Rhinolophus ferrumequinum: one gene and its partners. The main gene of each other region encodes a partner of the protein of the gene in region 3 in a complex. Links are inferred from orthologs where the notes say so. Each region holds a gene or a part of one and is shown on either strand. Other genes may lie near its edges. The genes, in order: STX6, VPS54 and VPS51.

What was found.
Region 1: the proteins of VPS51 (region 3) and STX6 are in contact, whole or in part, in a crystal structure (PDB 4J2C), measured with the Homo sapiens proteins. The link is inferred for Rhinolophus ferrumequinum from reciprocal best matches to the Homo sapiens genes VPS51 and STX6. Residues at the interface, in NP_037397.2 of Homo sapiens: Ala33, His34, Met36, Leu37, Leu39, Tyr40, Tyr41, Gly42, Leu43; in NP_005810.1 of Homo sapiens: Met3, Glu4, Asp5, Pro6, Phe7, Val9, Val10, Glu13, Trp59, Asp60, Asp63, Leu64, Glu66, Thr67, Ile70, Val71, Phe78, Arg88.
Region 2: VPS51 (region 3) and VPS54 share a complex: the UniProt entries of both Homo sapiens proteins name them as parts of the golgi-associated retrograde protein (GARP) complex. The link is inferred for Rhinolophus ferrumequinum from reciprocal best matches to the Homo sapiens genes VPS51 and VPS54.

The regions. Positions count from the first base shown.
Region 1 is NC_046305.1:13,349,085-13,359,519, reverse strand, and holds the start of STX6 (syntaxin-6), read left to right. Parts: upstream 1-6,534; 5' UTR 6,535-6,761; coding exon 6,762-6,796; intron 6,797-10,435. UniProt on the Homo sapiens protein: SNARE promoting movement of transport vesicles to target membranes. Targets endosomes to the trans-Golgi network, and may therefore function in retrograde trafficking.
Region 2 is NC_046296.1:25,817,666-25,827,497, reverse strand, and holds the start of VPS54 (vacuolar protein sorting-associated protein 54), read right to left. Parts: upstream 4,006-9,832; 5' UTR 3,897-4,005; intron 1-3,896. UniProt on the Homo sapiens protein: Acts as a component of the GARP complex that is involved in retrograde transport from early and late endosomes to the trans-Golgi network (TGN).
Region 3 is NC_046294.1:6,509,423-6,519,307, forward strand, and holds the start of VPS51 (vacuolar protein sorting-associated protein 51 homolog), read right to left. Parts: upstream 4,581-9,885; 5' UTR 4,460-4,580; coding exon 4,247-4,459; intron 3,766-4,246; coding exon 3,636-3,765; intron 1-3,635. Other genes in the region: cation channel sperm-associated auxiliary subunit TMEM262, read left to right, coding at 8,695-8,868, 8,975-9,042, 9,155-9,461; ZFPL1 (zinc finger protein-like 1), read right to left, coding at 9,551-9,737. UniProt on the Homo sapiens protein: Acts as a component of the GARP complex that is involved in retrograde transport from early and late endosomes to the trans-Golgi network (TGN).

The DNA of each region.
Region 1 (10,435 bases), on a different chromosome or scaffold from region 3:
ATCTTATTTCGCATCCTACCCATTATCAAAGTGCCCAGTGGCCACATCCAGAGGCACGGTGACATTGTCGGCAAGCCCTCGGCTGTGGCTGGAAGGCCGGTGTGTCCTTCAGACTCTGTTCGTTATGTGAGCTGAGCCGACCTCTCGGGGCTGGGTTTTCTGAGCCTGCCACACGGGTTCGTGAGACCATCACTTGAAAGATTATGTTTAAGGGACACCGTGTTTGTATTATTGGAGAGTTCTTTGAGGCTCAAACACAGGCGATATATAGATAAGCTTTTTACCTTCTGGAAAGATCACCTTTTCCTCCCTCCTCCCTTCCTCTTTCCATCATCTCTCTTAACCCTTGCTCCCAATCTCTCCTATTTCTGACTTAAATGGTGGGGCTTTTCTGGATTAAATTTCTGTAGAAGCAGGTCCAATGTCTGTCTTGTTCACTGTCATATGCTCCAAAGTGCCTGGCACGTGGTAGGCCATCCACCAACCTCTGTGTAAGGAATACACAGATGATTTGAAAGAGCTCCTCGCTGTCATTTGACGAGTCCCTGCCTACAGAGGTGGCTGAGATTGAGTTCTAGACACTGCCACCCCCCGAGTCCCCCACCGTAGCTGGAAGAGTGGTCGCGCAGAGAAGCCCGGTGCTTCCAGGCCATGGGCCTTCTCATGGTTTGGGGGCAACGGAAGGCACTGCTCCCCCCGTGCCACGGGCCCCTGCGCCACGAAGAACTTCTCCTCTGCTTAGCTGGTGTCTCCTCCATCCTCCGGTCCACGCGTCCAGAACCGCGCTTTTCTCTTCCCGGGATTTTTTGTTACTGGTCGGGCTTGTGGTGAGGAAGAAACACGTCGGACCCGGGGGTCGATGCCGCGGCGCAAGGCCCCCGAAACTCGTCGCGGGACTCACTGAGCTAGTGCAGCGCAGACACAGAGGTCAAAGCAAGGGTCTGAGCAGGAAAGAAGGGGGCGATGCTGAGAAGGACAGGGGGTTCCCAGGAGGTTCTTCCCAGCGTGGCTTCCGCCCTCTCAGAAGGTGGGTGACACACAGGGACCGCAGGGGGAACTGTGCAGCGAGTCCGCCGCTCCACCAAGTCCCGGGTTTAATAAACACACTTCTCCGCCCTGGCTCCGTCCACATGTCACCGCACGTTTCCGGAGGCCAAGCTCTGCCGCCTACGCCGCCTCAGCGGGGGCGTTCGGGGCAAAGGGAACTCGGGATACTCACGGGCAACGCTGTGCTTCACCGTTAACACAATAAGGAGACGTAACAGGAGCACCACCAGCCCCTCTAAAGTCCTTTCCTTTCAGATTCTTTTAACCAAAACACCGACAGATCCCTGCGGATCTTTCAAGAGCCTCGACTCCACCCGCTCCTCAGAGATTCGGCGACGGCGCGACGCTCAGGGCTCTCTCCCAATAAAATAGGAGCTGTGTGCGGTGTCAGCAGTTGCTAGGTAGAATAGAGAGAGACGAAAGTGCTGACTGGCCTTCAGGATAACTTCTAACCCATTGCTGTTTTCAGACACTGCTTGCTTTTTTTTTTTTTTTTTTTTTTTTGGTGTGCCTCTTGGCCCTGTTCCCAACCTTTTTTTTTTTTTAAAGCTATTATTAAATTATTTTTCAATTATAGTTGACATACAATACTATATTAGTTTCAGGTGGTCCTGTTCCCAACTTTTAAACATCTGTGGAGCAGAGCTATGCGCAAGGCGCAGGGAACACAAAGGTTAATCACCCCTGGTCCCTCACGGAGCTCAAAAGGAAAGAAGCCTTTGCTTCTTTCTCCCGGGGTGCACGAGAAAGATTCACACAAGGTTCCCAGGATTTGGAACTCCTTGCTCTGACTTCCTACGATAGTATAGTTCATATGACTGATGTGACGTGGCATCTATCGCTCTTAGACTGTCTTGTCATTTTTAGCTTAGGTCTATCCTCCAGCCCAATAAGCTCCAAAAATGTTTGTTGAATAAAGGAGAGCAAGTAAAAGGCCTAAACGAAGATTCCGAGAGGCAGACACTGGCTTGCTTAATTAGCAATCCCGGGGTCAAGCTGCGACTACACTGTCATTAGGAAGAGCATGACAAGTTGGGAAACAGTAGCTTAAGTTTGTCCAGGGAGCTGGAGGACAGGCCCAGACAAGAAAAAGGAAGTGGAGGTTAGTGGGAGAGATGAGTGGAGGCAAGGCCATGAGGAAGGCCTTGGTTCAGGGACCTAGGTTTGCATCACAAGGTCCTTATAAGAGGCAGGCAAAAGTGTCAGAATCAGGGAAGATGTGACCTTGGAAGCAAGGTGGGAGTCGTGCCATTGCTGGAAGGGAGCCAAGGAATGCAGACAGCCTCTAGAACAGGATGGAGAAGGAACAGCTTCTTCCCACAAGCATGCAACCCTGCCAACACTTTGATTTTAGCCTGTGAGACCCACTTTTGGACTTCTGACCTCCGAGCTATAAGAGAATAAATTTGTGTTGTTTAGGCCGCTAAGTTTGTGGTAATTTGTTATTGCAGCAATAAGAGACTTGTCACTTGTTGGGATTTCACAGTACTATTATCACATACACATAATCACCAGTAGTCCTCTTGAGCCATCCCAAGTAAACCTCTAATTTAAGAAAAGACAGTGGGTCTGCCATGTAACTTCAGTTCAAGCCTCCTCGCCCTGCCGTCTGAACTTTAAGTTAAATTCTAAAGCCTGCCCTATGGAGAAATTCTGGAGCCACTTCTGAAGGTTATGTATGTATGTTGCTCAGCACAATGTCTGCTACATACGTAGTAAGTAATTGTTAACAATCATTGTTACTGTTGTTATTCACTACTTCACCACCAGAGTGTGGTTGTTCCTTCCCTGCACACCAACAAATTCATAGAGATCGTAAAGAGCATAACTGTCCTCCTACCCTGGTTCAAATTCACTGTTTCGTCAAGAATTTCACTGAATTCCAATAACATATTTTAACTTTTAATACTTGCCAATATCCATTCATTTATACATTTCTAACTTGCCTGACTCTAAAATTAATCATTTAAAACTGCTAACTTTTGTTGTAGTTTCACATACGTGGCCACAACTTTCTCACTTCTCTTATTTTTTATTTTTATGTTTTTATTTTTTGTATTTCTGATGATCCAGGTAAACATTTCATTATGCTAAACTTTAAATACATTTCTTTTTTTCTATGTATAAAAATGAACAGAGTTGAAATGATATCATATATACAATTTTGTCTTGCAATCTTCCATACATGTCATTACATACTTCAAAATAACGTTTCTAATGACCATCAAATGGATTTTTCATAAACTCTTAATCACTTTCTAGTGTTGGATATATAAGTTGACTAGAATTCCTCCTTATTTTAAACCAGTGTGTAGAGGGTAAGGATAGAGGTGCTGGTAGCAACCAAGGAGAGGGAAGGAAACATAACCAGTGTGTGTGGGTCGGTGTGTGGATGGACACTTTCTGTAGCTGGGGCTGGGAAACGCAGACAGCCACGGCTGGATCAGTGGAAGCCAATGTGAGCGAATGTTTCCTGGAGTATTCCAGAGCACGCATATGTATTTCAGGGTTTTTAAAAGACTGAGATAATGATGAAGAGTATAATACCTAACGTCTATGCAACACTTTTCTCCCTTACTCAGTGTTATTTCAAAAAGGATGCAGGGTGAACTCAGCAACAACAAAATCTGAAACAACCCAATTAAAAAAAGAGCAAAAACTTCAATACATTTCTCCACAGAAGATATACAAATGTTCAATAAGCCCATGAAAAGATGCTTGCATTTTAACTATAGCTTCCTTGTTCCCGGGGCAGTGGAGGCCAATGTCTTGTTTGGGTTGAGAGAGGGTGAAGGAGGGTGACATTAAAGGGACACCCCATACCCTCCCACACACATTTCATATCTCAACCCTCCAGTATGTCTGTTGCTGGTACTTTTACAAATCCCTTATTATGAGAATTCTCCAAGCCTCTGTCCTCTATCTTCTATGCTTCTGCTTTGTTTCTGACCTCTCATTTGTGGTTTAACTAATAAGCTCATGGAATAGATAACCAGAGGGTATGCTACGCATTGAGGTAAAATAATATTCTCCCCTCCCTCCAGAAGCTTCTAGTTCAGTGAGAAAAACCAACGTGCTAGCAGCTAATTTACATCCACCCTCCATCTAATTCTCCTCCTGTGTTCTCTTTCCTGGTGATTGGGACTAACAACTACCTACGTACTTCCAACTCCAGAAAGGCCTGCAAGTCTTCCTCCCTCTGCTTTCAGCAACCCCCTAACACCCTGAACCAATCAGTCACCAAGTCCACTGACTTTGCCTTTAACGTATTCTCAAAAGCATCCCTCCTCTCCATCCTATTTGCCATGAGCCTATCTCAAGACACCCTCATCTCTCCTCCTCTAGACCATGACCTCCCAGTTGACCTCCCAGTCACCACAGTGTCTGTCTCAAATGCCAGTCTGACCCTGCCAATTCCCTCAGCTGCCATGATCTGTAGGAGAGTGTCTACAGTTCTTAACATCATAATCAAGGGCCCTGATCATCTGACCTTGTCAGACTCCAGCCTTAGCGCCTCTTGTCACCATCCTGTTCCTTACATGCCAGCATCACCCTCTGCCGTGGCTCCCCCACAGGCTGCAATGCAGTCTCCTGGCTGCCTCCAGTCATTGCTTAGAAACAACCCCCCCCAAATTGGTATCTTGTCTTTGTGTTTCTATGGCAACCTGTGCCCTTCTCTCATTGTGTGTAACTGCCTGTTTTTCTCACCGGTCTGAGAGTTCTTTCACAGTGAGGACCAAGGCTGTTCTTCTCTGTGTCTTCAGCACCTAGCACATAGTAAGAGCACACAGCGCGTGCCAGGCACTGTGCTAAGCACTTTTCACACATCAATTCATTGAATCCTCATGACACCCTATGCAAAAGGCATTATTATGGTGTCTACTTCAGGACAGTGAGAGAGGAAGCTCAAGACAGAACAGGAAGTAGCAGAATTGGGATTTGAACTCGGGCAATCTGGCTCCAAGTGTGGCTCGTAGTCACTATGCTGATCTGCCCCTCAATTTACATGTGTTTGTTGAAGGAATGAAAGATGATGATCCTTTTCCACCTTCCCATCTCAATATGTCCATAGCCAAATAAACAGTTCTCTCCCGATAGTTTCTTTTCCCCACTGGTCCTCCAGGTCTCCGAGAAGCCTGCACTTACACCTGTCTCCTCCCTAACCCCATTCAATCTCTCATGATGTCTAGGTGTTTTGTTTTGTTTTTCCTTGGAAACATCTGTCAGATTCATCCTGGTCTGGTCCTCATCCCTTCAGACCAGGTGAGCACAGCAGCTTCCGGACTGGTTTCCCTGATTTCACTACCTTACTCCGTTGGGGTCTTGGGCGTGTACCTGCATTTTCATTTAACCTTCATAACAGCCCATGAAGTAAATATTCTTCTTCACCTCTTATAGATGAGGAACTGAATAATAGAACCCTGGTTCAAACAGGGTTTGTCTGGCTCAAAGGACTCTTCCAACTCCAAAAAGATTGGTGACATTGGGCAAGTCACATAACCTCCAAGAGTCTGAATTCTCATTTGTAAAATGGGGATACGAACAGTAATTACCTCATTGTGCGAGCAACTGAGATGACAGCACAGTGCCTGACACACAGTAACTGCTCAGTGATTATCAGCAATTGAAATTAACAACTCACATAGCACATCTAGCATAAGAGTTGGCTAATTGTTCTGACCAAAATGCTTTGGGAAGAGTTCTTGAACCATAGCTGAGAGCAGGTTGCCATACTTGGCCCCTTCTTTGTCCCTCAAAGGTGCTCTCTCCTGGGAAGCACCATATGCCGTATGAAAAAATTACCTTACTAATTACTTGCAAAATACACAGCAAAAGAAAATACACGCCAGTCTGGTTAAAGGTGGACAGAACCTGGGGCTCTGCCCTGTCCAGGCTGTGTGACTACAGGAAATCTTGAAACCGTTCTGAACTTTTCTCTTCTATAAAATGGGGATAAGAATACCTCGTCCCCTACACGATACATTGAGATAATGCATAAACAGCCTTTATCCCGTTGCTGGACACATAGTAAGACCTAAAGGAATTGTGCAACATTGTCATAATTAGATCATGTACATGAGCACGCTTTACGGTAAGTCGAGGACGAGATGGATTTATATGTTATCAAAAGCAAGTATTAAAAGTACGTAGAGAAAAGTTATAAGGATTGTGCAATTCAGGTACTACCTCACATCCTGAAAACCTACCTGTCTTCCTCGGAGAGAAAAGGTGGCTCCTCCCCTTGAATCCTGAGGGGCGGGTTGAGAGAAGACCAGCCCCTCTCCTTCGCTCCTAGAGCCCCGCCTCCAGGGTCCAGCGACGCTTGCCTAGGCTCCGCCCACGACGGGGCGGGGGCGGGGGCAGGTCCTGGTCACGTGAGCTCGGGTGCGGAAGTGGTGCAGCGGGCTGTGTTCGTGGTTGGCCGAGGCTGTGGGCGGGGGCGGGGTCAGGCCGGCCGGACCAGCGGGAGGAGCTGGGGGAGGAGGCAGCTGCGGGGGCCGGCGCCGGAGTCTGGGATTCGATCTGCGATCCCACCGAGTGCTGGACCAGCCGCGGGCTGCATCACCCCGGCCTGCGCGCGCCCGCTGCTCTGGGATCCCCAGGCTGAGGCGCCGGCGGCTGCGGGAGGCCCGTCGGGTGGGCGGAGGGAGGATCGGAGGGCGCGGGCGCCCCGTGCGTGGAGCGGGCGTGAGGCGGCTGGGGGCCGGGACGCCATGTCCATGGAGGACCCCTTCTTTGTGGTGAAAGGGTGAGTGTCGCCGAGAGTTCCACTGAAGGAGGAGGTGGCGATGCTGCTTGCCCGCACCTCCCCGCTCTCCTTGCTGGAGGGGGAGGGGAGACAAGTTGAGGCTGGGGAGGGGATTGTGGGGACGGCTTAGCCTTCAGAGCCTTGACCAAGAGTCCAGAGACATCCCCTCCCCGTCTACCTGCACTGTGAAATCCGTGCCTCCAACCTGGGGAGGGGGTCCCCTTTGGCCTGTGCGCTGCGGTGTAACTTATTTGGGGGTCGAGGAGTTCAGCAGCTCTGCAGGTGGGTAGAAAGACGCGGGTCCCAGCTCTAGTGGAGCATGAGGCCCTGCTTCGAAGGAGGGAAAACAGCATCTGGGCAGGAAAAGGGAAATGGCCCTCCTGAGCTTTGTAGTTGGTGTTGACGGGGGTGAGCTCCCATTGTCCATTGAGATCGGAGCGCTGGCCGGCAGACTGGTGGGACCACAACCGGCCCGGAGGCGTCCAGGCACGTTTGCAGGCTGGGAGGCTGGGGAGGATAGCTCCGGAAGACAGCTCAATTCAGTGGGGGAGTTTTTATTGAGTAATGGGAGGGGAGGAAAGCAATCGTTCATACTCAGTGATGATGTTGGAAGGAAAACAAAATGAAATCAGCCAAACTAAACTTCCCTCGGCTTCCTATTAGCACCGGGATTTTCCCACAGTGCGAAAGGAAACGAGTGCTTTCTTTTCAACTCCCTGATTTCATCCAGGCTATTTGACAGGTTTCCCTACTTGTTTTTCCCTTTGAGCTGTCCTGACTCCATCTTTGATTGTTGGATTGTTTGGCGATAGAAACTTTAATAGCACTTTGTTACTGTATCGGTTTTGTAGCCATTAAACAAATGCAAGAAAGATGGATTCTTACGTTGTTACCACTTGTCAACTTTATGTTTTAAATGTCAAACATAAATTTGAGAACCACAAAGTTCCTAGATGATCAATACTGAAAATCATAAAGGGTCCCTTTGCTTTCAAATAGCTGCTGCTTACTTCCTATTTGGGGAGTGGTGAAAGCTGACCAGGTACCTGGGTGTTTATTTATTTTTGTAAGGGTTCTTAGAAAATTTAAATGGTGCTTTAGGTGAAATACTTTATTATCTATGATACAGTAAATATATTTATACGTTTCTTAATGTTTCCCTAAAAAGGTTTTTCTTCACCTTACTTTAATTGTTTCCCCAGTCTTGATATGGTTTCTTCTTTATAGCCTTCGTTATAGAACTTCTGTTCAGCTAGACTTCAGGTGGTTCTGCAGGTTGATTGTTCTATAATTTAGGTGTAATTTTAATGTGGTCACGGAAGGGGGCAAGCACAGCATTTATCTACTCCACCATCTTGGATCCCCCTTCGACCTCACTGTCCTTTAACGTAGGTGGGAAAATGCCGAATTGTAGATTTTTTAGTAATATGTGGCTCTCTACCCGGAAAATGTGTTATTTGTTAGAATCGATTTAGGGATTAACTTTTAAATGTTAAAACTGTGTGTTTTCCCCCTGAATGAAAGTTGCAAAGGTTATCTCTGGCCATGGAGACCAGAGAGAATCAGAAAAATTTTGTTTGCTTGATTTTTAATAGAATTTGTGAAAATGCTAAATTGCTGTGCCATCTGGACTTTTTTTTTTTTTTCCCTGAGAGTATGCAAGACAGTCTGTGCTTTCTCACTGATTAGCTATCACTGCTGTATTGGAACATTGGCCTGGAGTCTTGGTTGATTTTGACATCATTTTATTGCCCTTCACGTATCTGAAGGAAATGAGACTCTCAATATCTTCTGCTGTACAAAGGTAAATTTAGCCACATACAGTCTGTCAGACTGTATGTGTGACAGACTACTCGAGGAGCCTTGCACCTCTATTTATTAAACGTATTGAAAACACATCACACGATGTAGAAAAATTAAAGACACCTAACTGTGGCCCTTAGCCTAGGAGCTGATAGTCTAAACTGAGAAATAACTGCCCACAAAAGCAAGTGGAAATGATTGAGGACTGAGGGGAATGCTAGAGAAGATGGGTGACCCAGGAGTTTGGAGCAAGGTGACTCATTAGGGATGAGTAATGATTGGAAAAGCTTTTGGAGGTAGTAGTAAATCTTGAATCAGGTTTTGAAGATGGGTAGAATTTATATAATTCAGGCCTGTGTCTCATCTGGACTCTTACCAGAGTCTCTAATTGGTCTTCCTGCTCCCAGTCTCTTTCCTCTCATCTGCCCTGGGTTCTGTTGGATCAGTGTTATACAAAATATAATGTGAGCCATATATGCCATTCTACATTTCCTAGTAGCCACATTAAACAGCAAGAAGAAATAGGTGAAATTAATTTTAATGTCATCCTTAACTTAATAGATTCAAAATATTTTAACATATGATTAATATACAGATTAGTAATGAGATATTTTACTTTTTAGTACGACGTCTTCAAAACCTGGTATATATTTTGCACTTATGGTACATCTCAATTTGGATGTGAAATTTTCATCAGAAATACTTGATCTGTGTTTATTAAACTTATAGTTGAAAAGGAGATTCATATACCCAAATTGTTCCCAACATTGTTAAACATTTTCCGGTAACTGAATTGCATATCAGTTTTTAAAGTTTAATTTAAATTATAGTTTTAGTTCTTCAGTCACACTAGCAAATTTCCAGCGTTCAGTAGGCACATGTGGCTTCACAGCTCCATGTGGGTAGCACAGGAGTAAGTTTCTGGACTCTAAGAAGGGTTTCCCTACTTACCGTCACTTAGTGGCTGCCAGCTCCCTACAAAATAAAGTCCAAACACTTCATGGCCTGCATGAGTCAGCCCTCCTCTCCCTCCTCGGACTCTGCCTGGCCACAGCTCAGAGCCCAGCAGTGCCTGCCTCAGTGCAGTGAACTTGACCACGGTCCTGGAAGCTCTCAGTCCCCAGGCACCCACTCTACGCAGCCATTCACCGCGGTATTTCCACTGCAGTGTAATTCAGACCTATCCTGAGCCTCCTGGCTCTGCTGTCACCTCTGTCCCTCATCCATCCCTTAAGTGTAGCTGCTCTAGTTGGTCCTCGTGCGTGTTCTCGCGGGGTGAGCGCCATAGTCCCCATTCCCGCAGGTGCTCCCTGGGTGTGTGCACACCTGCTCCCCAGTCACTCTAAGCCAACTCTCTCCTGAGCGCTTTTCTCTTTTCCAGTCATTATTCCGTTTCCCACCCTGTGGCGTGCATCTCCGCCCCTTCTCTTTTTCTTCTCCTTCCTTCTTCCTCCCAACACCTGACCCACGCATTCATCCTCCTCCTAGCCCTCCTCACTCCTGCCTCGGCGCTCTCTGCTTCAGTCCCAGGACCACGTGGTCATTGTGGCCAATCCGTGCCACCCCGGGGATCTCTCTGGAACCTTCTCTAATGCTCTAGTTCATATCCTTGTCCTCTCCCACCTGGACTCGTATAAGCAGCTTCTGCAGCGAGCATCACACTGTTACCAGATAAGGCCACAGAGACACGCTCAGGTCATTGTCCTTTCAGAATCCTTCATTCCAAAGTACTTACTGAGAGCCGAGGGCACAGGAGCGAGCAAACAACATGCCTGTCCTTAGGGGGCTCACGTTCCAGGGACACGCAGCGTACAGAGGAACCGAACACGGCGTGTC
Region 2 (9,832 bases), on a different chromosome or scaffold from region 3:
AAAAAGAAAAAGGGAAGAGGGCCTGAAACTAGGCCCAGATCTATACAAGCAAATATCAGCATATATCAAATTAGTGAGCAAACAAAATATTTCTATAAAAGACTTTTACCTTTATGATTAAACTGGCTTACTGATATGTGTCAATGGGTACCATTCTGATTCTAGGTGGTCACCATATCCCTCTGGTTAATAGACTAGGTTCTGAGAGGAGGAACAGCAACCAGGGGAGACTAGAAAGAGGAGGCAGAGAAATAACAGGAAAGCCATGAGACTTTGAGGGTACAGAAGACAAAGGAACTAATTTTTTTGGAAACAGCTAGGAGTAGTCAACCAGAGCAAATAAGATGCATGCTGCCCATTAGATTCAGCAGCATGAAGGTCACTACTGATCCTAGCAAGACAAATTTGGTAGATAGTAGAACTGGAAGCAGATTTCGATGAGTTGAGGGCTGTTTTATGGAGAAGAACAAAGGATGAGTAAAGTGTTTCTAGAAGCTTAGTTGTTAAAAAAAAAAAAAAGGGGGGCTAGATAGAGTGGTAGGTGGAAGTGGATGTGAGGGAAGATTTTCTTAATATGGTAGATATTTGAACATGTTTTAATTCCCAGAAGTGCTCTTCAGAAACAAACAAACCAAAACCAAGTAACTCCACTGAGCATAATAATTAATTTTCTCCCAAATATTTGTTCGCTTATGTTATTCTGTGTGTCAGGAGATTTAATATCACTGAAAACTTTTGATTGACATCAAATGATCAAGGAGGAACCAATTTTCCCCATCTCTCAGCTTTGCTGTCATCCATTTATTCATTTAACAATTTTTGTTGAAAACTACTATGTCTCATGCTCTATTTTAAGCACTAGTGATACAATGATATGAAAGAAGCAAGCCCACTTTCACTACTTCTTTTCAGCATTGTACTGGAGTTTCTGGACAGTGCAATAAGTTAAGAAAAAGACATTTTAACAATATAAGAATTGGGAAGAAATAAAACATTATATTTAGATAACATAACTATATATTTAGGAAATCTCAATGAATCTCTAGATTACTAGAATTAATTAACCAGTTCGATTACTGGATACACGGTGTGGTAGGTAGAATTCTAAGTTGTCCCCCAAGATCCCAGACCCCTGGTGTCCATGCCCTATATAATCCCCTCCCCTTAAGTGTGTGTGGACTTGTGAATATGAGTTTTCACTCTCATGATTAGATTATGGTGTATGGCAAAAGTGAAGGAATTTTGTAGATGTAACTAAGACCCACGGAGTTAATCAAGAGAGATCACCCTAGTGGCCCTACCTAATCAGGTGAGACTTTTTAAAAGAGAGTTTAGAGGTCAGAGATGACAGAAATCAAAATATTTGAAGAGAAATGGTTTCCTGTTGGCCTTGAAGAAACAAAATGCCATGTTTCAGAGAGGATTACATGACAGGAAATTGCCTTGCCCTCTAGTAGCTGAGAGTGGCTACTGGATGACAGCCAGCATGAAAGAGGAACTTCAGTCCTATAATTCCAAGGAACTGAATCTCACCAATAATCAGTGGGCTTAAAAGAGGACCCACAGTCTAGATGAGATCGTAGGCCTGCCTGACACCTTGATTTCAGCCTAGTGAGACTCTGAACAGATGACCCAGCTAACTTGTATCCAGACAACTGACTCATGGGAACTGTGAGATAATAAATTTGTTTTCCAAGATGATAAGTTTGTGATAATTTGTTATACACCAGTAGAAAACCAATATGTAAGGTCAACGTACAAAAATTTAATTGTTTTTCTATTAATATATATCAGCAACAGACAGAAAACTTTAAAATTTTTTACCATTTGCAATTGCACAAAAATATCAAATACTGAGGAATAAATCTAATGAAAGAATGCAAGACCCTTCTACAAAGAAAACTATAGAACTTTATTGAGATAAATTGAAGATAAACTAAATAAATGGAAATATATGCATTATTCATGTATTAGAAGTTTCAATGTTGTAAATATGTCAATCTCTCCAAATTAATTTACAGATTCAGTGCAATCACAACAGGTTTATATGTGGAAAAATAGCAACCTGACTCTAAAATGTACAGTTGACCCTTGAACAACATGGATTTGAACTGTGCAGGTCCACTTATATATGAATATTTTTTTTCACTAAATAACTACTGTTTTTGATCCATGATTGGAAATAGAAGGCTGACTATGTATCCATCTACATTATTTTATATAAGGGACTTGAGCATCCGCAGATTTTGGTATCCATGAGGGGTCCCAGAACAAATCCCTTGCCGATATTGAGGGAATAACTGGGGGTAGTTAAATTTGGGGGAGTCAAGGGTTATACATGGATTTACAACTGCACTGGAGGTGGCTCCCTTAACCCCTGCATGTTCAAGGGTCAACTTTATATGGAAATGCAAAGTGCCGAGAATAGCCAAACACTCATAAAAAGAACAAGATAGGAGGACATACTCTACCAGTTACCAAGGTTTATTATAAAATGACAATAGTATGGTATTAGTATAATAGATAAAGATAAAAAAAATGTTAAAACCTCCAACAAATCAAAACAGAAAAGATAGATAATTCAATAGAAAAATGGGTCAGACGCTTAACAAGCATTTCATAGAAAAAGAAATCCAAATGGCCATATGAAAAGGTTTCAGCCTTATGTGCAAAATGATGTACTACACATCCACAAGATCACTTTGGAACATAATTTGGCAATATCTTCTAAAGTTGAATATGCATATACTCTATGACCTAGCCATTCTGCTCTTGGAAATATCGCCAATAGAAATATATGTGTATGTTCATCAAAGATATTTACAATAATGGTGAGTGACAGAAGCCAGACATACAAAAATATATACTATATAATTCCATTTACATAAAATTCAAAAATTCAAAACTATGATGTTAATAGTCAAGAGGAAAGAGGAGGTAGTAATTAGAAGGGGTATGAGAAGGGTAATGTTTGATTTCTTGATCTGGGTGATAGTTAAATATATCTATTCACTTTGTAATAATTTTTTACTCAAACATTTATTTTGAGCATTTTTTCATATGTAAATAACATATCAATAAAAAAGATTTAAAAATAAAACCAAGCTTCCTGCCCTCATGGGCTTTATATTCTACTGTGAGGATCACAGCTTTATATTCTACTGCTCTCCTTCTTATTGGCTGGCTTCAATAGCAGATTTCAAGTGGTGGGAAGTGATAGGAAGATGGCTTCCAGCAGCTCCTAGTCTACAACTTCCCGTGTTCAAACCAGTAGGCAAGGCATACCTACAGGCTCAGCAGAAGTCCCAGATTGCCTCTCCCTGACTCTGATTAGATGATGCACAATCCCAACCATTGAGGCCAGGATGAGGCTCTGATTGGCCAGGCCTGAATCCAGTCAACCCTGAAACCAGAACATATTAAATAAGAATGAGGAAAGATGTGGTTCTTCAGAAAAAGAAAAAGAAAAAAAACAAAACTGGGGCCCCATGTCAGAAGAGAAAATAAATGTGGACTGAAAAGCAAATGTCCACAATGAGTCTCCTCTAAGTGAAAACCCAGATTTGCTACGTCATATTAGGTCAAGTTCCTTTTAAAGTCTTTCATTGTATTCCATATGTTTCAGCGATTTGGCTTGCCTACTTCTTCCACTGCTAACGTGGTTGCAAACGGACTCTTTTCTTCCCTTTTGTCAGCTAAGAAATAGGGCATCCTCCCCGACACCATCTCTTTTTCTCTGGATTTGAAATAAGCCAAAAACAACCAACCAAACAACATAAATAATAACAAAAATCCATTTAGAGTTTTAAAAGCTTGTTTCTGCTAGAAACTACAATGTCACAAAAAGATTAATAAACATAATCAAACCTTGGAAAATAAGTTCTATTTCTACCCACCTGTAGAGACCCCTTTCGGTACCTCAGGGGCTGCCTCCTCTGGTAAGCTTTCTTTACCATCCCCTTTACTGAGTTACTCAGTTCCTCTGTGTGCTCACTTACACAGTATTGTAATTTTCTGTTTACTTATCTGTCTTTTCTATTGCTTCATGCCTTCCTTTCAGACCTGGTTTCGGCCTTTATGTCTGTATCAGCAGTACAAAGCTCATTGTTTGGGATAGATATGGTAGAGGGTCAATAAATGTTTTCTGAATGACTGAGAACTTCATATCCCAATTGCATTTAATTCTGATAAAAGCCATGTGAGGTAGATATTGTTAATCTGCAACTTAATGAGCTAAGTGACCTGCTCCACATCACACACAGGGAGTAGAATCAGGATTTGAGCTTCACTCTATTTGAGCCAAAGTCTGAGCTCTTGGCCACTGCCTTGGTCAAAAATGTTCATCTGTTTGGAATAAGATTCAGACTTTAGCTTGCAAGAGTGTTTCCTAATTAGATTCTACCTGCCTTTTTAAGCCTCTCTGTCATTACTCACCACTGTGCATCTTTCCTCACAGCCCCTGAACAGACTTGGGTTTTCCTGCCTCTGTTTAGGTAGGTTCTGCCAACTCTGTTTCCAAAATCATCCCTTCTTCAAGGATCAGCTCAGATGTAATAGCTTTTACATAACATTTCCCTTATCATTTAGTCAGAAGTGACATCCTCCTCCTCTCAATTGTCATATCATTTATTTCCTAAACTATGGATGTGGCATTTTTGACGTACTAGTTCCTGTTCAAGCTATTAATGCACCTTTAGTTTCCATATCATACGATTACACCTTGGCTTGTCCTCTCCATGGCCCCTAGTACAGTGACTTGTACATGGCAGACTTAAGAAAGAAATTGTTGGATGAATTAATGATGATAGTTGCCTTTTTGGTATGCCACCCATTTTCCTCACTGTCTAGGGCTTAGGACTGTGCAAATCATTATTGAATCTGCAAGGATATCCCATATCCTCCTCAAATCCCATAGTCTGAGTCTCTCTTGATACTCAAAGGAAGCTTACACATTCAGAACCACCAGTTATCAAGTTGGCAAATTGAAGTACAGAATAGGCTTTTGATAGCTTTTAACAATGTGGTTTCACAAACAGTTTGAAAATATAGCTTTGTGAATAATATGTTTTAGTTTAAAAGGACAAGAAGAAAAATAAGGGGATGTATTCTGGGGAAAAATAAGGGAATTTCTAGAGCTTGAGGTAATTTGGTCTGTTAACTGTAAAACCTCAAGTTAACCAGAACCCAATTAACTGGTATTAACTGGCACCTGTAATTACGAGGGGGGGGAGGGAGAGAGAGAGAGTGAGAGAGAGAGAGAGAGAGATTGACAGAGAAAAAGGATTTGCCTCTAGGAGAAAGAGACAAATGACAACAAAAAATATTATCAGGGGTGTGTTCAAAACAGCAACTAGCAGCATGTATCCTCTCAGTAGTAGCATCATTTCCAGAAACGAAGCAACTCAAAATTCGCATCACGTGATGAGATAGAAAAAGAAATTTAACCAGGAATTTCATTTAACCAGCACATGTCATTTCCCACAAGTTGTGGTTAAGCAGTGATATGTCATAAGCCAGCTGCCTAGGAGTTAGAGGTAAGTATAATATTCCTTAAGAAACTACTTTGCAAAATTGTTTAAGGAAAGAATTAGGGCAACTAAACTAACTAGCAATGTAAGGGCATTTTCAAAAAGAAAAAAAAGACCAGCATCTTCAATGTGCAGCTGGAGCAGAAGATCCTGGTGTGTGCCTTGTTTTCTGCTAAATTGCAGGCTTCTTCAATGATCAGGTTTCAAGTTGCACTGCAGCAACTGACTCAAAGTGTTTAGTCTGCAAATGAGACCAGACTACAAAGGGACATGATTGAGGTACTGAAAATTGCAATTACCGAGGGCATGTGAAAATTGATCGGTTCCTCCTTGTAATCTGGTTGAACAATACAGGAACAAAAGAATTTAAAATAAAGTTTAATATTAATGGAAATACCAGAGAAGTTATTATGATTTCATGTGGTATTTTCAAAGTGGTATTGTGGTATTCACAATAGCAAAGAGGGCATGGAGAAAAAGGCTGAAATTAGATATATTTTTAACTGAGTAATCACACATATGACAAACTCAACAAAACCAAACTTCAGGTGATTAGAACCCAAGAACTTGCAGGCTAACACTGAAGATTCTGCTGGAAGAACACCATCATAGCTGTTACAACAAGTAAGGTTGGAAGCAAATAGCATTGGTGAGCAAAGTGATCAATATGTCAAATCTGTTCTGATGATGATGATGATAGCTAGTGTGTTTAGAGCTTTGTCCCCAATATGTGCAAAAAAAAAAAAAAAACAGACTGTTTATTTCTACTAATGTCTCTAGAAATTTTGGACTCTTTCCTTCACATTTAATTAGCCATCTAATTATAGCCATGCACTGCATAATGACATTTCGGTCAACAAGGGACCACCTGTATTATGGTGATCCCATAAGATTATAATGGAGCTGAAAAATTGCTATCATCCAGTGACCTCACAGCTGTTGTAATGTCATAGCGCAGTACATTACTCATGTTTGTGGTGATGCTGATGTAAACAAACCTACCGGGCTGCCAGTCAATCATATAAATTGTAACACATACAATTACGCACAGTACCTAATACTTGATAATGATAATCAATGACTATATTACTGGTTTATGTATTTACTATACTAATTTTTATCATTATTTTAGAATGTACTTTTTCTGCTTATTAAAAAATAAGTTTACTGTAAAACAGTATGCAGTGTTACACCAGCAGTAGCCTCATACATCTTGTGTTCACCATCTGTCTTGATCTCATCATTTCCCCTTGTGCTTGATTTAATCTCATGTTGTTTTGGTAGCCTGGGAGCAATAGGCTACATCATATAGGCAAGTGTGTAGTAGACTCTACCATCTAGCTTTGTGTAAGTGCACTCTATGTTGTTCACCAGATAACAGCACATTTCTCAGAACTTATCCCCGTCATTCTTCGACACATGACTGTAATCAAGTGTGACTTTAGTCTCTTACACCGACTGCCTCCTTTCTATCCCCATCCTTACCACTCAAATATTGCTCTAGCTTTCAGGAGAATTTTAATAGATATTTCCAAATTACCACTCAAAAAGATTGTATATGAACTTACATTTCCAGCAGTTGTGTAGGGGAACATGTGTGTCCTCAAATAGCCAACAACACTTGGTATTAACAAACTGTTTGATCTTTACCAATCTAATAGGTGAAAAAAAAATAGATGATATCTCATTGATATTTTGATTTGTATTGCTTATGTAGATAGCTATAATGTATGATTTCTGCCTTGCTCTCAGTAACCAGCATTAGGTCACAGGGACAGGCTCAGTGCCAGGGAACCAGCAATGACAGCATTTTACTTTACAGCATTTACAATGGAAGGCAGGGAGGAAGGGAGCTGGAATGGATGTTGAAGCCATCATCATTTTTTTCATTTATGACTTTTGGGTTTTACGTCCTTCATCACCCTAAGATTAAAATTTCACCCATGATTTAAAAATATATTTTTAGGGGCCGGCCTGGTGGCTCAGGTGGTTGGAGCTCCATGCTCCTAATGCTGAAGTCGCTGGTTCAATTCCCACATGGGCCAGTGAGCTTCAACCTGCTCCAGTTGAACTGGAATGGGGGCGGAAGAAAGGGAGGAAAAATTTTGTTTTTGTTATAAAAGTATTCAAATACACCAAAGTAAAGAGAATAGAAAAATGAACTTTCAGGTATCTATCACAGTTTAAAAATTATTAACATTCTATATTTTTGTTTCATCTATCCCACATCTAATTATTTGTCTGAAGTTCTCTAAAAAAACAAAAACTCAGGTATCATATTAGTTCACTCAAGAATATATTAGTATGTTTCTCTAACAAGTAAAAAGTATTTATTGATGTATGACATATACATATTAAAATTTATGGCTCAATTAATTTTCATAAAATGAAAAAACTCATGTAACTACATCTTATATCAAGAAATAGAATGTTACCAATATTCCAGGAGCCCCCCTTTTTGTCCTCTCTAGGTTACTACTATAGGGGAGGAAAAAGCTTTCCTCAACCGTCTTATAGTTCCCTGGCTGGGTCTGAAAGTTAAATTGACAAAGGCAGATTAACAGGAGAAAAGCACAGAAATTTTTTTCAGCGTAAGTTTTATGTGACACAGAAGCCTTCATAAGGAGATGAAGACCTGAGTATTTTATGCTAGGTTTGAGGAAGAGTGGACAGTCATGGAGGAACAGGAGAGGGTAAGGAGTATGAGGTAATTGTCCTAAACTGGGGGAAGTTAGTAAGGCCTATTTGTAGGATTCTTCTTGTCTTCCCTTTAACTTCCCAGACAAGAATGCTCCTTTCCTCTGGGGATAGGGAGAGCACCTCTCACATGAGGGTTTTATGACCTGCTTCAGAGGAGAAGGGTGGGGTCGGTGAGGGTGGGAAGGTCAGAGTGACCTTCCTGCTCTTCATTTGCTCAAACACCTTCAGCTTAAAGTAGTCAATACACCAGGGTGCCATCTTTTGGGGTATGTGTCCTGAACCCCATCACTACTGTACCGTCAAAGTTAACCACTATCAGCTTTAATTAGTTTTGCCTATTTTTGACTTTTATATACATAGAATTACATTACAAACTTAACAGATATAAATTACATCATATTGCTTGGTGTCTGGCTTACTTCATTCAACAGTGTGCTTGTAAGATTTATCCATGTCATGCATAGCAGTAGTTTGTTCTCATTACTATGGAGTATTTCATTGTATAAAAATTTTGTAGATTTTTAACCATTCTATTGATGGCTATTTGGGGTGTTTCCAATTCTGGCTATTGCAAATAGTACTGCTGTGATCATTTTTGTACAAGTCTTTTGCTGCCCACATGTCAGCATTTCTCTTGTGTAAATACCTAGGAGTAGTATCCCTGGGTGATAGGGTATGCTTATGCTCAGTTTTAGTCGATTCTTTCTATTTTCTAAAATGTCTGTACCGAGTTACACTCCCACATATGGTATAGGAGAATCATAATTGTTCCACATTGTCATCAACACTTGGCATTGTCAGTTGTTGCAAGTTGAGTTCCGTGGGAAGTAGACTCTGAGAAGAAGATCGTCATGCAGGAAGTTTATTAGGAGGTGCTCTTGAGATCAGCACTGTGGAGGGGAAAGGACGTAGGCAGGACTGGACAGAGGGAAAGCTGGTGCTGTGGTACAGCTTCGACCAGCACTGCAGCTGACCCCCCAGAGAGCCCATGATTTGCGGCCCTTGCATAGCCTCCACCCTGACACCATAGCTACTCTGTTTATAGTCTACTATATTGGCACTAGAAGCTGATGATGGAGGCTGACTGAAGTCAACAAGCATTTTGTCTGTTGGTTGTTTAGTGCCTCTTTGGTGGTAGAGATGCTCTCTGGTGGGTGTTAACACGCATTTTTCATACCTTATTTATACCCACTCCCATATGGCCATCCCACTCCAGATCTCCTCGCTCCTGAATTTCCAATCTGTCTTCTTCTATTCCCTGACCAGTTGGCCACGCCCTTTGCCACTGCTCATGGCCACCTCTGGCCACTTCTCTTTCCACACAAAGTGGATGACAAGTACAGTGAGATAAATATTTATTAAAGCACCTTGTCAGTGGTTCTCAATGAGCAGGCTATATATGTCACAGGCCAATTAAATAAAAATCCGTGGGAATAGGACCCAGAAATCAGTGTTTCTTTCAAGTTTTCCATATGGTTCCATTGTCCATCCAAGGTTAAGAACCACTGATCAGCTGTTCAGCTTTCTGCTAAAACTTGAAAGACAGTGGTTCTTAAATTTTGTTGTACATTAGAATCAACTGGTCAGCTTATTTAAAATGCAAG
Region 3 (9,885 bases):
AAAACAGCTGAGTACTGAAAACTACACTGTATATCCTTGAACTGTTTCAAGCCTGTTAAGAAAAGCAGTTGTCACAGGGTGAATGACAACCATCTGGATGCCAAAACGTTAGCTACCGAGGGAAAGGACTGGGGGCAACTGGTGGGAGGCTGGAGGGGGCTTTGCTGGTCATGCTGAGTGCAGACGGGGGTTCCATTTGGGAAATTCATGCAGCTGTCTGTCCACTTAAGACCTGTGTACTTCTCTGTAGGTCTGATCATGTCAGTAAAGCTCACTGTCACAGATCGCTTTTGTCTTTGCCGGGGAAAGGAAGGGGACGAGGCTTTTCACTGCACAGCCTTTGGGACCTTTCCAATTGGGAAACAGATGAAAAAAATGCATTCATCCATAAACAAATTCAATGTCTAGCCAGGGGTCAGAGAACTATAGCCTACAAACCAAACCTGGCTTGATACCTGCTAGTTCTTTGTTTTTTAATGGGATATAATGGATGTATCGGAAAATTCAGTGGTTTTTAGTACATTTAGCTTAACCACAAAGTTGTACAACCAACGTCGCTATCAATTCTAGAACTTTTCCTGACCCCCAAAAGAAACCTCAATATCCCTTAGTAGTTACCTCCTATTGCTGCCATGCCTCAGTCCCTGGAAACCATTAATCTATTTTCTGTCTCTATGGACTCGCCTATTCTGTACATTTAACATAAATGGAATTACACAATATACTGCTTTCTGGGTCTGGCTTCTTTCACTTACCCTGTTTTTGAGGTTCATCTGCATTGTAGCACGTTTCAGTATGTCATGCCTTTTTATGACAAATACAGATCTACCATATTTATCTACCCGTCAGTTAGTGACCACGTGGGTTGCTTCTACTTTTTGGCTATTGTGAATAATGCTTCTATAAATGTTTGTGTACAAGTCTTTTACGAACATACATTTTGCAATCCTCTTCAGCATATTCCTAGGACAACTGCTGGGCCATATGATGACTCCGAGCTTAGCTTTCTGAGAAATGGCCAAACTGTTTTCGGGGGGCACCGTTTTGCATTCCCACCAGTAACATATGAGGGGTCACCTTAGTGACCCAAAACTGCAATATAGCAAACAGTGGTGAAGATGTGAAGAAATTCACTACACTACATCCTTCACTACACAGGCAGGATGCTTTCTATTGGCAAATAGAAAGGCACCTACTCACCGAACCGGCTTTATCGAACCTAGTGGGTGTAAAGTGAAATCTCACTGTGGTTTTGATTTGCATTTCTCTAGTAACCACCAACATTGAGAGCATCTTGTCACGTACTCATTGATCATTTATACATCTTCTTTGGAGAAATGTGTATTTGAATCCTTCGCTCATTTTTAAATAGGGTTCTTTTTAGTTCTGAGTTGTAAAAGTTCATTATATATTCTGGACATTAGACCCTTAGAAATTTGTTTTGTAAACATTTCCTCCCATTCTGTGGGCTGTGCTATCATTTTCTTGACAGTGTCCTTTGAAGCACAAGGTTTTAATTCTGATAAAATCCAATCTATTTTTTTTCTTTCGCTATGTGAATTTTTGGTGTCTACAGAGAAAACACACACTCCTGTTTGTCTTCTGTACTCTTAATACTCCACTGCAATACTAGTTCACATCTGACACCAGTGTGAATTTTCCACACATCCAGCAATTCCTGCGACTACAGTTTAACTTAATTCTGACACTATCTACCTGGAGTTAGCACTAGACCTCACAGTCCCACAGGACGACCCTGCCCCGCAATTCAGATGTCAACTGCAACTCCAGGTTGTCACTGACTGACCAGCTTCTGACTGACCAGCTATAAATCGGAAGTTCCCATGACCCCTTCCTCAGGTTCAATTAATTTGCTAGAACATCTCACAGAACTCAGGAATAATAGTTTGCTTACTAGATCACTAGGTTATAACAAAGGGATACCACTCAGGAACAGCCATATGGAAGGGGGCAAGGTAAGTGGGAAGGGGCGGAGCTTCCATGCTCTCTGGGCATGCCACTCTCCCAACCGCCGCGTGTTCCCCAACCTGGAAACTCTCCACACCCTGTCCTTTGGTTTTTATGGGGGCTTCACTACACAGGCAGGATTCATCAAGTCACTGAACACTGGTGACTGAACGCAATCGCCAGCCTCTCTCACTTCCTGGGAAGTCTAGGGGGTGGGGCTGAAAGTTCAACCCTCTGATCAAGTGGTTGGTTCCCCTGGCAACCTGCCCCCATCCTTGGATTACCTTGGGGCTTTCCAAAAATCATCTCATTAACATAAACGCAGGAGTGGTGGGAAGAGGCCGACTATATGAATAACAAAAGACATCCATTTCACCTTTATTGATCTGGAGCTTTTTCAGGAACTTGGAACAAAACTAAGTATTGTAACAAAAGAGGCCACTCTGGCTTTTATACAGGAAATCCCAAGGGGTGTTAGGAGCTATGTGCCAGGGACAGCGGACGAAGACCAAATCCAGGTATCCCCAGCTCTCCCCAAGTTCACTTTTAGGAAGACCTACAGTAGTACCTGTTTTCAGTAACAAAGAAATTTGAAGAATGCCCCCTCCCTCGCACCACGGAGAAGCACCCCATGCACTCATATTTTGCCCAAGCTTATCAATTCCATTTTTTGGAATGCTTTCTTCATTTAGCTTCTGAGACACCCAGGCTCCTGATTGTCCTCAAACCTCCCCAAATGCTTGTTTCCTTTGTGTGATCTTCCTTCCCTTCACATATTCTAACAAATGAAAAAATGTAATGTTTGCATAATTCCTGTGAGAAATTTTTCAGCACAGAAAGTAGGACTTCTTGCTGTTTGATTCTGGTATTGGCAAATAGAAAGGCACCTACTCACCGAACCGGCTTCAAATCAGATAAAAGAACAATGACAATGTGTTTCCACACCAACCACTGCGACACTAGCAGAGTAAGAGACATCAGAATGCACTCCACAGAGGTTCATGGAACATTCCCATGGACTGCAGGTAGACCCCTGGGATCTGCCTCCAGAACTAAGTACGGTACATGTGGGGCCAACATTACTACAAAAGCCTGAGTAGTGAATTTCACCAACACAAGACAGAAGCTAGTGTGGACGACAGTTAAACATTGTCTAACAATGTCCTGAAGAGAGAATAAAAGGGACAGAAGGAAAAAGAGCTCTTTATGATCTTTGTGTTTCTTAATGTCATAAGTATTCTCTCTTTGCTTAATTAAAAAAAGAGGGAGGGAGGGAGGGGGAGGAGAGGGAAGAAAGGAAGAAAGGAAGGGGCAAGCCCATTCTCAAGACACACCTGGACAGAGAAGAAAGCTACCACTAATGAAAGAAACTATCCCTTACTAAGGCATCCTTAGGGTCAGGGATTCTAAGTATTTCAGATACATTTGTTTCAAAATTTCATTTGTCCTTTCTGCCCTTTGGTCCTTAAAACAACCCTGTGACAATAGCTATTACCTCTATAGTAATATGACCACAAAAGATCTGAGAGAGAGGTGAGAGTGGATGAATGTCAAGGCAGGAAGGGAATCTGGGTCTCCTCCCTCTAAATCCCCAGCTAGTTTCCCCAACACATGGGGAGGAACTGGGGGAGGTGGGACTGTGAAGGGCGTGTCCCTGTGGGAATCACCTGTGGCTGAGATGAACTTGTTGTAGTTCTCATAGACCAGGGTCTGCATGTCGCTGTCTAGAGCCCTGATTTGCCGCACCATGTCCGTCTCACTGTCCATCAGCTGGGCCAGGGGGCACTCTCTACGCAGCTGGAGGAAATTGGGTGGTTAGTGTTCAAGTTAGAGGATACTCATGTCCCCCAGCCTTGCCCCTCATTGGAAGGCTTGCGGTGCAAGAAAACCCTGATCCCAGCCCCCGTCAGGAATCCCCAAATGGAGTCTATAAGGCTCAGGAGTGACTAGGTTTGAGGGACCCTATTTGGAGTTTGTCAGCATTGAAATCCTCAGCCAAGGCCCAGTGCTGTGCCTGTCAGCGCCTGGGCCGGGCTCCCTATGCTGGGCCTAGCAGAACACCAGGAGACCTCCGCCTCCTCAGGCCAGTCCAAATCTGACCACGCCCCCTTAGACTTCAGCTCTGTCCCAACTGCTAGGCCGAGGGTCGTCTTCCTCTTATAAACCACTGCTTCCTTCACCACAACAAAGTCGGAGGCATGATCTGAGAGTGCAATATATCGGGGGCCTGATTCCCTCACACACACACACACACACACACACACACACACACACATACCTTGTCCAGATACATTTCCGGGTCGAAGTGCGCCCCATTGAGGTCTGTCGGGTCCAGGGGGTCTGGCCCCGGCGCCTCCCCCTCCGAGAGGCCGTAGTAAAGCTTCAGCATTCCGTGCGCCTTTCGCCGACGCTCCGGAGCCTCCGCCTCAGGCCCCTCCGGGGAGTCCCCAGGTCCAGACCCCGGGCCTGGCCCAGTGGCTGCTGCAGCCATCGCTCTAACTGCAGCCCACCGGCGTGAGGCAGGGAAGGGGACAGGGAGGAGGCACTTCCGGGAACCATAAAGTTGTTGTTGAAACGAGGCAGTCCATCAGGTGCGACGTCCCCCGGCCGATGTTGGTACTTTGAGACTAGAGTTCCCCCGTATCTTTCCTCCCCAAGCGAAGAGGTTCCGGGAGAGCTCTGGTTTCCCCCAGCTTCTCACGTGGAAGGATTTTATGGAACTGGTCGGGTTGCTACCTTGGCTGAGGGAGGGTGGGTCGCTGCTCCCAACCCCGCACCCCCGCACCCCACAGGCAAGGGCCCTCGGAATATGTCCCTAGAGGCAGCGGACGGGGCGCGAGCTGTACAGCCAGAGAGCGTGTGCCTGGCATCCTCCTACTGCCTGGATACCTGGGCAGCGGCTCAGTTTCCACCTTAGTTCCTAAAATTGGGGTGCATACTTCAAGGGGGGCTGCGGAGGATTAAATGCAGGTACAGTACGCCGTATGGTGCCTCTAGCGCAGTGTGTCTCCAGGCCTCGTCCTGTGACATACATCAGAAATGCCTTCGTTAATTACCTGTGGTGCATTTTAAGACTCTGGGCGTCCCCCAAACCTAGATGCTGCTTCTTTTTTTTTTAAGTCCACAATTCGTTCTGGTGCACTTAAATATTCCGTGTTTAGAAGACAGACTTCCTGATCTTAAATGACTGACAGGATGTGGAGTGAGGAGTTGGGTTTCTGATTTGGACAAAGGTGTTCGCCAAGGGGAAGGGCTCAAGAGGACAGAATGACTTGGAGTTCAAACTGAGACCTGCTGAGTTTGAACGGAGAAAACGACTTTATCAGCGTTGTCCTTGAAACATTACTTATGATGGGCTGGGAGGGGGTGGGGTTAGAACGGAAACAGCCTTATTTGTCAGGGTCCTGCAGGCCAAACACATTCCACCACCTTTCCATACGGCCTGTGAACTATGAATGATTTTTTTCGTATTTAAATGGTTGAAAAAAATAAGAATGACATTTCATGACACGTGAAAATTATATGAAATTCGTATAGAGTAGATCTCAAAAGTTTTGATCACAAGAAAAAATATAACTGGTGATGGATGATAACTAGACTTGTGATCATTTTGAAATATATATATTGAATCATGTTGTACACCTGCATCTAATGTTACATGTCAACTATATCTTCATTTAGAAATTATTTTCATAAAATCATATGAAAATTATGTGAAATTGTATGAGATATTTTAGTGTCCATAGTTTTATTTGAACACAGCCATGCCCATTTGTTTATACATGATCCATACCTGCTTTCTCTCTACAATGGTGGGGTTCAGTAGTTGCAACAGCGACCATATGGCTGGCAAAACCCAAAACAGTTACTGTTTGGTTCTTTACAGAAAAAGCCTGCTGATCCCTGAATATATGGGATATTCAGAGGATGTTTAAAAAAAATGAAGATTTCAGCCTATGAAGCTATAAACTTAAAATAATGAAGAAGAGTATAAAGATTTAGATTTATTCCAAGAGGCCTATAAACATTTTTTAAAATTGCAGAATATTAAGAAAAATTATCCAAAATTTGGAAATAAGACCAAGAGTGTAGTATGTCCTTCCAATGTCATACTGGGCCATTATTTCACAAGCCCACCCAAGGATTAATTACCCAAAGGAATGGACATTTGTTTGATTTTGTTATTTACTATTCAGCATTCAGACTCTGAAATTACAAGTATTTTCCAGGAGAGATGCAAAACATGTCTAGTAAAAAAAAATTACCCTCAAAGTTATTATTTTTACTAAAATGTTTATTAATTGCCCTGTAGGGCATCCTGTTTTTTTGTTTGTTTTTAAATTTTATTGGGGAATATTGGGGGACTGTGTTTCTCCAGGGCCCATCAGCTCCAAGTAATTATCCTTCAATCTAGTTGTGGAGGGCGCAGTTCAGCTCTAAATCGCTGTTTTCAATCTTTAGTTGCAGGGGATGCAGCCCACCATCCCATGTGGGAATTGAACCAGTAACCTTGTTGCTGAGAACTGTGCTCTAACCAACTGTGCCATCTGGCTGCCCGGAACATCAACGTTTTGTATCTAACCTATAACCACATTCTAACATTCCTCTTTAAATGCCTGTCAATAACCAGCTCTTCAGGATGATTTACCACCTGAGGAGAAACCCCCTCTCTAATGAGTTAACGCATCTTAGTTACATATTCATTCTACATTGAGATGTTTATAACATTTTTAAAGTTGTACTTTGACAATACATATGGGTGGCTTTTAAAAATGTTTTTTATGTTATGCATGTGTACTCCTACGTGCATGTACATGTATGAAGTTACATCAATAGAGGACCAAAATGATGCCCACTCGCCAGTCTGTTGAAGGGGTTACCTCTGGAGGACTGTTACATTTTCCTCTGTATGCTGGTGTAGTATACAAATCTTTTTCCCCCCTTCTTCCGCCTCCCCCCTCCCGACTCCTGTCCAAGCCAGTTGTTTCTCAGTCTAGTCGTGTAGGACCCAGCTCCTTGGCCCATGCTGGTATTATGAGCCTTGCACTCCCCCCAGCTGAGGCAGTTGGTCGCTGGTCTGGCCACTCACGCTGGCCGCAGGCCAGCTCCTGGTAGCACACAGCAGCCTTGCTGCACCTTACAACGACCTCCGACTGTTCGCAGCAGGGCAGCTCCAGGGAGAGCAGTTTATTCATAATCTTAGCTGCAGAGGGCGCAGCTCAGATTCCCATGTGGGAATCAAACCAGCGACCTCGGAGTTAGAAGCACGGTGCTCCAACCACCTGAGCCACCAGGCTGGTCACAAATCTTTTATAAGAACATATTCATATACTACTTGGGTGATTGCTTAAATGGCATTGAACTAGGAGCCCTAACATATAAAAGTTAATTTGTATTCAAATGAGAACTGAGCTGTGCATTTCAACAGTGGGATCATAGGTGTGCATTGGGGCATCACCCCTTTAATGTGTTAGGATGGGGTTTGAGAGGCTGTGGTGATTAATGATTCCGGGTAGTAAACATGGATGGTGAGGTCAGGCTCTAACCCTACTGCTTCAAAACAGAAGAATTTGCGTCTTGGCCTGACCTGGGACCTAACTAACTTCTGGGGCAGTCAGGTAAGAGGCAGTGGGGACGGCCAAGTTCAACATCAAGTCCTCCTTCTTCTACTTTAGTTTCTGGGAGCTTGCATGTCCCTTCACACCACTTCTGGCCATGTTTCTGGCTTATTTTGTTGACAGTCCAGTCCTGGAGGTTTCCCCTTGCATGTGTGGAGGAAATGTTTTCTTCTCGGCTTCTAACTGTCCCTGCTCATTTCACAGCCTCAGGTAGAACTGGATCTTAGCCTCAGGACTAATGGCCCCAGTCATTGGCTGTGAAAGCTTGAGCTGACAATCCCTCTCTCTACCTCAAATTTGCGTGTAAAACAGGATTTATGCCACCGGCCCCAGCTTTCTCATGGGACTCTTGGTTGACAAAGATGATGGGTGTGAAAATGCTGAGTGCCGGGAAGTGGCAGAGAGGGAAAGCTGGTCAGCATCAGGTCCTTAAAGAACATCTGGGGAGAAGATGGACAGTCCAGTTGCTCAGGGCCACACCTAAGGAGGGCATGGCAAAGTCCTTGGACAGCTGTGGGGAATCTGTTGTCCCTTTCTTTCCCTTAGTTCCTTCCCAATAGGGGTTGGAGCAAATACTTAGAGCTTGTGATCCAACCCCAGGCCTCCCCTCCCCTGGGAATGCCCTCAGGTACACATCTGGGTCCGAATCTCTCATCTGCCTAAGACTTGCTGTGGACCTGAGACATGCTCCTCCCCCACACACTTTTCTGATCCCGCGTTCTTCATCTGTAGTGGGCCCACACTAAGTCCTCTGTCTTAACTCAGTAGTTAAAACTGTTGAGGACTCAGTGGGAAAACGGTAAGTGTACCTGGTGGGATGAAGGGAACGCTGTCCCTTCATCAACATGACAGGCTCCCACGCATCTGTACCTTTAGCCCACTACTCCTGCACAAGTCCGAGTGCCCCAACCACCCATGAAACACTCCTGTGTTCTAGAATTCCAGCCTGTGTTCTAGAATCTTGTCCCCTTGAATGTCCTCCTGTTTTTAGAATCCCACTGCTATTCCAAACTGTGCATTCTAGAAGCGGTAGAGTCAGGTGCTTTTCCTGGGCAGTGTCGGCTTGCTCAAGCTCTACTGTCTGACTTGAGTCTGTACTGCTGCCACGATGCGGTGGCGGGACCGCATTGCTGTGCTCTTCTTCCCTCAAGGCATGATGCTCACCGTGGCTGCCCTGATGCTCTTCTTCATACACCTGAGCGTCCTCGCCAGCGACGTGCACAACTTCTACTTCACCCACCACTACGACCGCATGAGCTTCCACTACACCGTGGTCCTCATGGTAGGCCGTGGCAGGGGCTTAGGGGCTGGTTGGCGGAGGCCCAGGGGCTGATGGAAACCCCACTGTTGTATCAGGGGGCCACTCTCCCACTGGATGGGGCCTACAGTTCTCCCAGGTGATCAGTATCTGCTGGGCTGCCATGGGGTCGCTCTATGCTGAGATGCTAAACGACAAGTTTCTTCGGTACTTTGCCCTGACTGTCCTGAGTGAGTGACGGAATGGGGAGCTTTGGGACCCCGAGACGTGGAGGGGGCAGGGAAGGCTGATGGGGGTTCTCTCCACCCAGTGCTCAATGGAGCCATGTTCTTCAACCGTCTGTCCCTGGAATTTCTGGCCCTCCAGTACCGGGAGGAGAATCACTGAAGCTTGGGGACTGGGCTGAGGTGGAAGGAAAAGGAAGCTTCGGGTGTTTTAATAAAGTCTGTCATTTATTTCCACCTGTCCGCTCCTGCATGGGTCGGGGAGGGTGGGAGGCCGGAGACCCAGGGGAAGCAGATCAAGACGAACGCTTATCTGCAGGGACCCCAGGCCCAGCCTGCAGCCATTCTGGTAGATTCGGCTTTGGGCCTGGGATCTTAGTGTCTCAAGCCTGAGGGAGAGGAGCTGAGAAAGGCCCCCAGACTGTCCCACGTCCCCTCCTCAGGCCCCCAGTTCCGAGGCTTGCCCAGACACAAGCAAGGTCTCAGGAGGGCCCCACACGGATGTGAGGGTTCATGAGTGGGTCCAGGTTGGGGTCACTGTCAGCTGCAGCCCGGCCCAGGCGAGACATGAGGACAAGGAGGGCCAAGAAGCCCAGCAGCCCCAGCAGCAGCAGCAGCCCCGCCCGCTGGAGCAGGGTCAGAGGCCGCTTACGAGACCCGGCCCGGCTCCTGGGGGGACGAGGGGAAAGTCAGATCAGGCCCCCAATCCCTGGGGGCCCCGCGGCCTGGCGAGGAGCCCTCATCACGATACTCGTCTTCTGGCCCCAGCACCACCATCAAGCCTCATTTCCTCAAGTGAGCCATGGGGACGAACATC